2 linked regions of the Arabidopsis thaliana genome follow. The protein of the gene in region 1 interacts with the protein of each later gene in a pairwise test. Each region holds a gene or a part of one and is shown on either strand. Other genes may lie near its edges. The genes, in order: AT4G15470 and PUP8.

What was found.
Region 2: the proteins of AT4G15470 (region 1) and PUP8 interact in a protein complementation assay, tested with the Arabidopsis thaliana proteins (one large-scale study listed by BioGRID).

The regions. Positions count from the first base shown.
Region 1 is NC_003075.7:8,841,645-8,846,602, forward strand, and holds AT4G15470 (Bax inhibitor-1 family protein), read left to right. Parts: upstream 1-1,874; 5' UTR 1,875-2,016; coding exon 2,017-2,308; intron 2,309-3,081; coding exon 3,082-3,195; intron 3,196-3,388; coding exon 3,389-3,546; intron 3,547-3,654; coding exon 3,655-3,861; 3' UTR 3,862-4,166; downstream 4,167-4,958. Other genes in the region: AT4G15460 (glycine-rich protein), read right to left, coding at 1-240; AT4G15475 (F-box/RNI-like superfamily protein), read left to right, coding at 4,283-4,558, 4,756-4,958.
Region 2 is NC_003075.7:10,067,309-10,071,665, reverse strand, and holds PUP8 (purine permease 8), read right to left. Parts: upstream 2,209-4,357; 5' UTR 1,949-2,208; coding exon 1,918-1,948; intron 1,846-1,917; coding exon 692-1,845; 3' UTR 551-691; downstream 1-550. Other genes in the region: PUP6 (purine permease 6), read right to left, coding at 2,473-3,584, 3,676-3,727; AT4G18180 (Pectin lyase-like superfamily protein), read right to left, coding at 4,349-4,357.

The sequences.
Region 1 (4,958 bases):
TACACTAGCATGACCACCTCCTCCACTAGCATGGCCTCCTCCTACACTAGCATGAGCACCTCCGACACTAACATGGACTCCACCTCCACCGTGAGCGCCTCCACCACCGCCTTTGGCAACCACGGTGGTACAATTGACTAAAAGTAAAGTGATAATTAGAAGGACGGCGAGTTTCGCTGCATAATTGGTAACAAAGTGTGCTCGAGTCTTCGTGATTTTCATGCTGGTAATATCAAACATACACCTTTATCAAAACAAACAAGTTCTATATCAAAATTCAAAACATAAACATATATGCGTAGTTGCGTACACTATCTTTGATTCTTAAATTGCTGTTTGCTACCTTAAAACGGAAAAGAGGAATTTGTTATCGTGGGGTGAGATGCTTTAGAAAAGCCTCTATTGTATATATGTGTAGGCAATATTCAAGATTTTTTTGATTCTTTTACTTTTTGTTGTGTTTAGGATAAGTTGTGAGTAATTCTAAAAAATACTCTTTGTATTTATTTTTCCTCAAAATATGGATTTAGATATTGTGTATAATTATCATTACCCTAATTAATGGAAAAGTAAGTTTCACAAAACCTTTGTAGGTTATCATTACCCTAATTAATTATCATTATATTTTTGTAGGTTATAAAATCCATAACAATTATTGTAGCATGTAGCAAAAATGAAAACGAAAAGCATGATATATCATTAGAAAAAAAATATAATTACCATATGCTGGAATTGGTATATTTAGAGTTTGATGGGAAAGTTTAACCTAATCAATTCGTCAATTCAAAATTCAATATAGATTACATTGGTGCTAAAGTTTTAACACGTGTTGCTTCATATATAACTTACTATGTTTAAGATGGTAAAAATTTATAATGTTTACAAACACATGCTTTCTCAATTATTCTATACTTCATAGACGAGACTAGCATTTTGAGATTAGACAAAAGTATCTTATTATATAAAATTTGGTTTCTTAAAGTTACGATTAGACGTGTTTTCCTATTTTTATTTGAATTGGATTTGATTATTTTTTTCATTATTTAATATATTTCTATTTTCACAAAAATTCCATGAAATGATTATTCTGTTTCTCTTTGAAATTAGTTTTTTTTTCACCAAAAAAGAAAAATTTGAAATTAGTTTACTTTTTAATATTAATCATATTTTCAAAATTTATTTATTTATTTCTTAAGTATGTTAACAATTTAACGATAAAGTCATATCATATCTACGACATAATTAAATAAAAATTGGAACTGCAACTAATACAAAACTTACCAAAATAATAAGAAAATGTGCATGCATGATTGCATGTGATGTGTGTATATAAAACACTATTTACTGGTGCGTTATTGTGAATCCATGTCCTAACTTTTATATTTTGTTTGTATAAATTTTTTAAATTTAATTTGTAAATTTTTGGAAATCTTATTATTTGGGTTTCAATAAAATTTTAACTTACTTTTTAAATTTGACTTTCATATATCTCATTGCTTTCCAATCAAAATTTGTCACATGTTTTTAGTTATTTGACGAAGAAAGAATTGATCGAGTATAACCCTAACCCAAATTGTTATTCATTTAATTTATTCTAACTGGTTTAAATGTTAAATAAATTATGGGATGAATTGTTTGGAATAATCCATGTTCATCAAATTTAAATTAATTGACCAATTTATACATAAATTTCTACTTCACAAATAAAAAAGAGTTAAATATGTCTACCCATGAACACAGAAATATGTTTCCTCAAAATAATTAACAGACTTTTTCTCTATTGGTCTTTCATATAAAGCTAACACTAACAGCGTTTTAGACATGAATAATACAACGCGTTATCGTAACAAATCATGTCCGTTCATGTTGCCACGTGTACATCATATTGTTAGATTAGAGGGAAATGACTCGTCGCCTTCGTCAACACAGAATATATAAATCTCAAAATTCTATAATTCGATATTTTTTCCCAGAATCAACCAGATCTGCTTTCGAAGACGAATCTAGCTATTAGCCATGGACAAACCGTACGGATACGCGAGCGTGAGCATGAGCGGCATAGATCGTTCCGCCGGAAAGGATATTGATCTTGAGATGGGAGTCGGAGAAGCGACGCTTTATCCTGGGCTAAGTTACGGCGAGAATCAGCTCCGATGGGGATTTATTCGTAAGGTCTATGGGATTCTCTCAGCTCAGCTTCTTCTTACGACGCTTATCTCCGCCGTCGTTGTTCTTAATCCTCCTGTTAACGATCTCTTGACCGGATCTCCTGGGATTCTTCTCTTCCTCTGCATCGTTCCCTTCATCTGTACGTAGATCTCGTTCTTTGGATAAGATTTTCATTTCATCTTCGTAGTTTTTCGTTGATTTGATCTGGTAATTAGGAATTCTTATGGTTAGGTCAACCTGATTCTGATTTGTGCATTTATGTCCCTTATGTTTATGCATTTCTTTTCCATTTCTCTTCATGGATTGAGTTTCTTCTCGTAACTAGATTTATATCCTTTACTGTGTTTATTATACATTTGATTGTTTAGGTATATATATGGAGGATGGATTGAACAATGTTTTATATGATGATTGACAGATTGATGCTTGGTGTGATGATATCTAGTGTGTTGGTGTTAGGATTCAGAATTGACTTTACTTGATCTTTCACTGAAACATAGAACAAAGAACAGACCAGAAACCTAAGGAGTAATTCTGGAGAATCCCTTACCCTCCTGAGCCCAAACCGACCAAAATCTTGACAACTCACAAATCTGTTATATTTCCTATTGATCCTTTTTCTTCCCTCTAACTATCTCGTCATGTAACAGCCTTGTTCTCTTTTTTCTATTGATCGTTTTTCTTTTGTCACCTTAGGGAGAATTTTCAGATAGCTTGTTCTCTATGAGTTTTGCTTTGTTGACCTCTCATTTGATGTTGGTTTACTTGCTTCAGTACTTAGTTTTGAATTTGTTAGTACTGAGTACCTTGATTTTGTGTTGCACAGTCGTACATCAGCTATTTATTTTATGTCATATTTGTTGACAAGATTTATTGCTCATGTGATTGATTACTGGGAGTTCAATTTTGTAGTAATCTGGCCTCTGCACATTTACCACCAGAAGCATCCTGTTAACCTGATCCTCCTTGCCCTCTTCACTGTTTCATTGAGTTTCACTGTTGGTGTCAGTTGTGCTATGACAGAAGGTTGTTATCTCGTTCCCTTTCATATCATCTGATTCTAACCAATAATATGTGATTTGGTTGCTGTTCCAGCCGCTTCTTAACTCACCTTATTGTCACAAAGAACAAAATTTGCCTGAAACTTGGAATAGCAAAGCCTGTAAAAGTTGTGTGTTTACTAACAATCTATTGTTCTTTCTTCTACGTGTTTTACCAGGACGAATTGTGCTACAAGCCTTGATATTGACTCTGTCTGTGGTCGGATCTCTAACCGCATACACTTTCTGGGCTGCAAAGAAGGGAAAAGACTTCAGCTTCCTTGGACCCATTCTCTTCACCAGCCTCATCATTCTTGTAGTGACCAGCTTCATCCAGGTTTGCCTCTCAGAATCCTCCCTCCTCACCTATATCACCAAACACCCAATAGTTCCACACATACATAAAACAAAGCCTTAAATTTGGTTTGCTGTCGTAATATTGCAGATGTTCTTCCCTCTTGGCCCGACTTCTGTTGCCGTATACGGAGGATTCAGTGCCTTGGTATTCTGCGGATACATAGTCTATGATACCGACAACCTCATCAAGCGTTTCACATATGACGAATACATCCTAGCATCAGTAGCTCTCTACTTGGACATCCTCAATCTCTTCTTGACCATATTGCGTATACTGAGGCAAGGCGACAACTGAAAGGCATAAAACGATGCTTCAGTGATGTGATCCAGTTTATAACTATAAGAGAATCCAAAAGCCTTTATGTGTGTATATCTGATTTCTGTTTGGAGAATTAAGTATATGATGCTATGTGGTTAAACGATTGATATAAACAAAATCAAGCAATGTCGATTTTCAACTTCAAATAAATTTGTTAATTTTGGCGGAATTTTGATGCCTTTTGTCGTATCCATTTCGATATTCTGATTGCTTAAGAGCAAAAGCAAACATTGATACCAAACGTTTGAAGATTTATTTACCATCATCGATAAATTGTTTTTACTTTGCTCTCCTTTTTTTTTAAACTCAACCATACACAAAAAAAGCGACCTCATCTTACCCACCGATCCGCCATTACAGACGAAGAAGAATTTCAACTGCAATCTCTCTCTGAACCATGAGAGGTCACGATCGGATTAACAATTGTTTGCCGGAGGAACTTATCCTCGAGATATTCCGGCGACTTGAATCGAAACCGAATCGCGACGCATGCTCCCTCGTCTGCAAGCGATGGTTATCTCTCGAGCGATTTAGCCGCACCACGCTTCGTATCGGCGCTTCGTTTTCTCCCGACGACTTCATCTCCCTCCTATCTCGTCGCTTTCTCTATATTACCTCTATCCATGTCGACGAACGTATCTCCGTCTCCCTTCCTTCCCTCTCTCCTTCCCCAGTATGTTTCTCTCATCGAAATTTTTCTGTTGAATTTGTGATCGGATCGAGCAGTTTTTGTGTAGTATCATGAATTCGATTGAAATGTTAAATTTTGTATCGATCTGGATTTGAGCTTAGTTGAGATTAGCGTTATTTGATTCTGAATTGTATTTGGATATTTGAGTTATGGTTTACACTTATCAATTATATTTGCAGAAAAGAAAACGTGGGAGGGACAGTTCGTCGCCATCGTCGAGTAAGCGGAAGAAATTGACTGATAAGACACATTCTGGAGCTGAGAACGTCGAGTCTTCCAGCTTGACTGATACGGGCTTGACTGCTCTAGCGAATGGATTTCCAAGAATAGAAAACTTGAGCTTGATATGGTGCCCTAACGTTTCAAGTGTGGGTTTGTGTTC
Region 2 (4,357 bases), 1.2 Mb from region 1:
TCTAAATACCCTACACAAGTTGCATTATCAAACATGGCAGGCTTTTAGTAAATCGTATTATATGGATGGGGCAGGCGATAGATGACAGTAGCAGTATCATTATTTAGTAGTCTCATGTTGACCGGTGACTTTTCTTATTTGCTTACACTTGACTTGTGGAATTCTTGAAACTTTTGAATGGCGGCTCTACGAGAATTTTTTTTATTTTCTCAGTGTCTACTGACGTTTAATCAGAAGTCAACAAAGATACAAGAATCCAAGCTCCTGGAGTATACGTTTTTGGTATTTTAAGGAGTCTTTTTACAAGGCACTGTTCAAGTCACTACATTGGTTATTTGTTATGTCAGTGGCTTCCAGGTAAGTGGGTATTATTTTTGTTCACTTGTTTCTTTTTTTTTGTTCAAAGCTCTGGTTTTCCAAGGATGCTTTAGCCTATTTGCCTCTCTGCTATCGATGTTTGCTCTTGTTTTTTGGTGATTCAAATGCATTGCAAAATGACAAAGCAGAGTATTGCATTTGCATCTTTAAGTTATGGGTATCTCCGGTATATAGAAGTAAAAAAGATCCGAACTATTGGTATCTTATGTACAAAACTTATCAGTTACTTATGATTGACTAGAGATACACGTTTTTATATCTATGCTCAAACTGTACAAAGATACATTGGCTTTACACTGGAAATATGTTTTGATCATACACTATGTATGTTTGTGTGACCTTCCTCAGCAGGTAGTAGATGAGGATCTCCTACAGGACTTGTGTGGCTAGTCTTCAACTTCTTTTCGTCGAGGTAGTGCTGATAGACAAATGAAATGAATCCCCAGATAGCTAAAATGATGGAGAAGATCTTTGACGCGTTCATTTTATCATGGAAAACAATCACTGCTACAACTGGAACTATAGGCAATCCCACAGCAGTTATGGAATTGGAGAACACAGAAGATGACTCAAAGATCAGTCCCACGACGCCAATGGTGTAGACTTGCCAGGAAATAGCTATCGAGGCCAAAGTCATAACGTATGGCACTTTCCCCAGTTTGTAGTTTTCCATCTCACTTGTTAAAGTTTTCCACTCCCCGCTTGCGAAAAGTCCTATGAGAACCACACAGCTTGCAACTAGAGATTGGTAAGCGACCAAGTCAGTGACCGTTGAGAATGTTTGCTTCTTTAAAACCTTCCTGAGGATCAGTTGTACCAGGGATAGCAGCAATCCAATCCCAGCAGAAGCACCAATGGTACATATTATCCCTATCACATATTTTACTCTAGACACTTTTGCTGTGTTTTCCGAATCAGTGTTGACCACGAGGAGGGCAGAGGAAATAGTAAGGAGAAACAGAGAATTCACAATGAAAGGTGTGAACTTCTGCGAGTTTAGAAAATATGAGAAGAAGGCAGTGAAGGCCAATTGTGAGGCCAAGATGAGGGAGAAAGTAGAAACTGGTAAGTATAGTAAACCAACAGAGGACATATAAGAGTTAGCAGACACTAATAGTCCAGTAACGATGTAAACTGATCCAAGAATGGTGAAGGAAGAGAACTTTCTGAAATCTGCTTCTGTTGGTTTGGGATTTTTGGTTTGGGAAAAGAAGCGGAAGAGAAACAGAACAGGGAAGCCGATTAGTTGGACAAGTGTTCCCATCCATGTACTCTTCCCACCATTTTCATAGTAAACTCTGCCCAAAATTGTAGAAAGTGCTTGGCAAGCAAGGACAAAGAACACGTAAATGGAAATACGAAGCCATTTCTTATAGTTCTTCGATTGAGGTACGGACGAAGATTCGATTTCCATGGTGGTATTCATTTCCTCCTGACCTGTTAGGTTTGCTTCTATGTTGTTATGATCTGAAAACATCAAAAACAACAGGTTAGCGAAAAGAATCAAGTAATCTACACTACGAGATGCATCTTGCTTACCATTGACATAGATTACTTGAGTTATTTCCATGACCACTCTAAGAGGACTTCCCACAAACAGAGTTTTGGTAAAGCTTTTATATATATGAAGGTTGGTGGGAACAAGTGCATCATATTTCTGTAAAGATGTTTACCGTTGACTTTGAATTATTGAAACCTTTTAATTGGCGGTTTTAAGAAAACTTCTTATACACAACGTTGTTAAAGTAGGCTGAGTTTGGTGAAAACAGATATATAGACGCTTGATATTGTTGTATCTTATTCTAATCTTATTGGCTCAAGTGTCCGTCCACTTGAAAAAAAAAAATTATTACTTGTTTTTGTTATGTTAGTAATCTATTTTGTGGATTTGGAAGTCAACAACGATACAACAAGACGGGAAGGCCATAAGTACACTTGACTTGGATTCAGAAGTCAACAAAGATACATGAAGACTGTGAGACCTTGAGACACTTACCAATTTTATTTGTAGTGCCTACAATATATATAACTCATTTTTATTTTAGATTAAACTGGTTCAAATTACAAAAGCTTTTGGTTTTCTTGGATCTTTGCCTAAGCTTGGACATGAATGGTATCTACTTGTTTTTGTTCTTCTTCTTCTTTAGACTGAGGAAGCTCTTGGTCTTCTTCTGGCTTTCTATCATTGACATAATGCTGATAACCATAAGAAACAAATCCCCAGATGGCCAAAAACATTGCAACCAACTTGATTCCACTCATCTCATCACGGAAGAAGACAACAGCAAGAACAGGCACAACTGGTAAACAAAGAGTGCTTATGACATTGGAAAAAAGCGATGAAACTTCGATAATCAAACCAACACTTCCAATCAAACAAGCTTGCCATGATATCGTTGAACCGATGTTTATCAAAATGTATGAGCTTTTCCCTAGTTGAAACTCTTCCATTTCTGTACTCAGCTTTTTCCACCCACCACTTCCAAAAAGTCCTACCACAACTACACAAGTAGCTACCATAGACGGATATGTGGCCATGTCTAAAATAGCCTTGAATGTGTATTTCTTTAGAATCTTTTCGAACGCGTAATCTGTTAAAGAAAGCACCAGAGAATAACCAGCTGAGCTACCGACCGCGCAGATGTATCCAATCACATACTTGGACTTGGCTGCGGACTTTGAAGTAGAAGAGGGAGATTCTGGTTCATGTTGGATAACAAGAAGTGTAGAAGATATGGTTAAGAGAACAAGTGAATTGAGTATAAATGGTGTGATTTTTTGTGAGTTTAGGAAGTAAGAGAAGACGGCGTTAAAAGCCAATTGCGACGCAGAGATCAAAGAGAAAGTTGAGACAGGAAGGTAAAGTAGCCCAAATGAGTACAAAATACAATGTCCAGCAACAAGCAAGCCAAGTCCAATATACACTAAAGATAGTGTCAAGAAGGAAGAAGTAGTTTTTTTGGTAATGGTTTTAGTCTTGGACGGCTCAGGCTTTAAGTAATAATAGCAAGGAAGGGTTAAAGGAAACCCTACAAGCTGAACCAAGGTTTCGAGCCATGTGCTTTTACCGCCTTTTTCGTAGTAAAGTCTACCTAAGAGAGTGGCTATTGTCTCTCCAGCTAAGAGGAGAGTGACATAGAGAGACACTCTTAACCTCCAAGAGTACTTGTGACTTCTCTCTTCTGTTGAAAATTTCCCTTCAGGTTCTACCATCAACACATGAAACAGAACAAGAACATAAGTAAAAGAAGAAGAACACAAGAATCTCTACGCCGGAATTTCTGTTACAATACTTACCGCCATTTACGTGAAGATGGAGTTCTTGAGTTTCTGATTCTAGTTCCATCATAGAAACCTGAAGGAGAAATATGTCAGGGAACAAATAAAGATGGTGTTGCTTACTTATATAACAGGCAAATGCGTATGCATATATTATTCTTTAATAAATAAAGTTAGTATTAGTTTACATTAAGATTTCAGTTTTTAAAATTATAAGTACTACATATATCGTTATAATTTGTCCTACTAACCATTTCCCGTGAATTGTTAAATGGCACTCTTGGAATGAATCATCTCCTCCATTTTTGTAGGATCCTATCTTTAAACGAACCAAATTTTATTACCAACCAGAATTTTCTTGCCATATTTTATATTTAGCCAAAACAAATCCTTAGGGTACTAGCAAGTTATCTATAGACAAAAGTATCAAACTTACCAACCAGTATTATCAACCGTTAAACACGAACCAAATTTAAATTTTTATTACCAACCAGTTTTTTCTTGTCATATTTCTTTTATTATTTAGCCAAAAATATTCCTTAGCGTAGTAGCACTTTATCTATAGACAACAAAAGTAGCAAACTTAATATGACCATATGAAGATAACGTGTCCAAAAAGAAAGCACAAAAGTTTAAGTACTAGATAAACTTCAAAATGATGAATTGACGATAGTAATGATGATGATGATGATTAGTGACA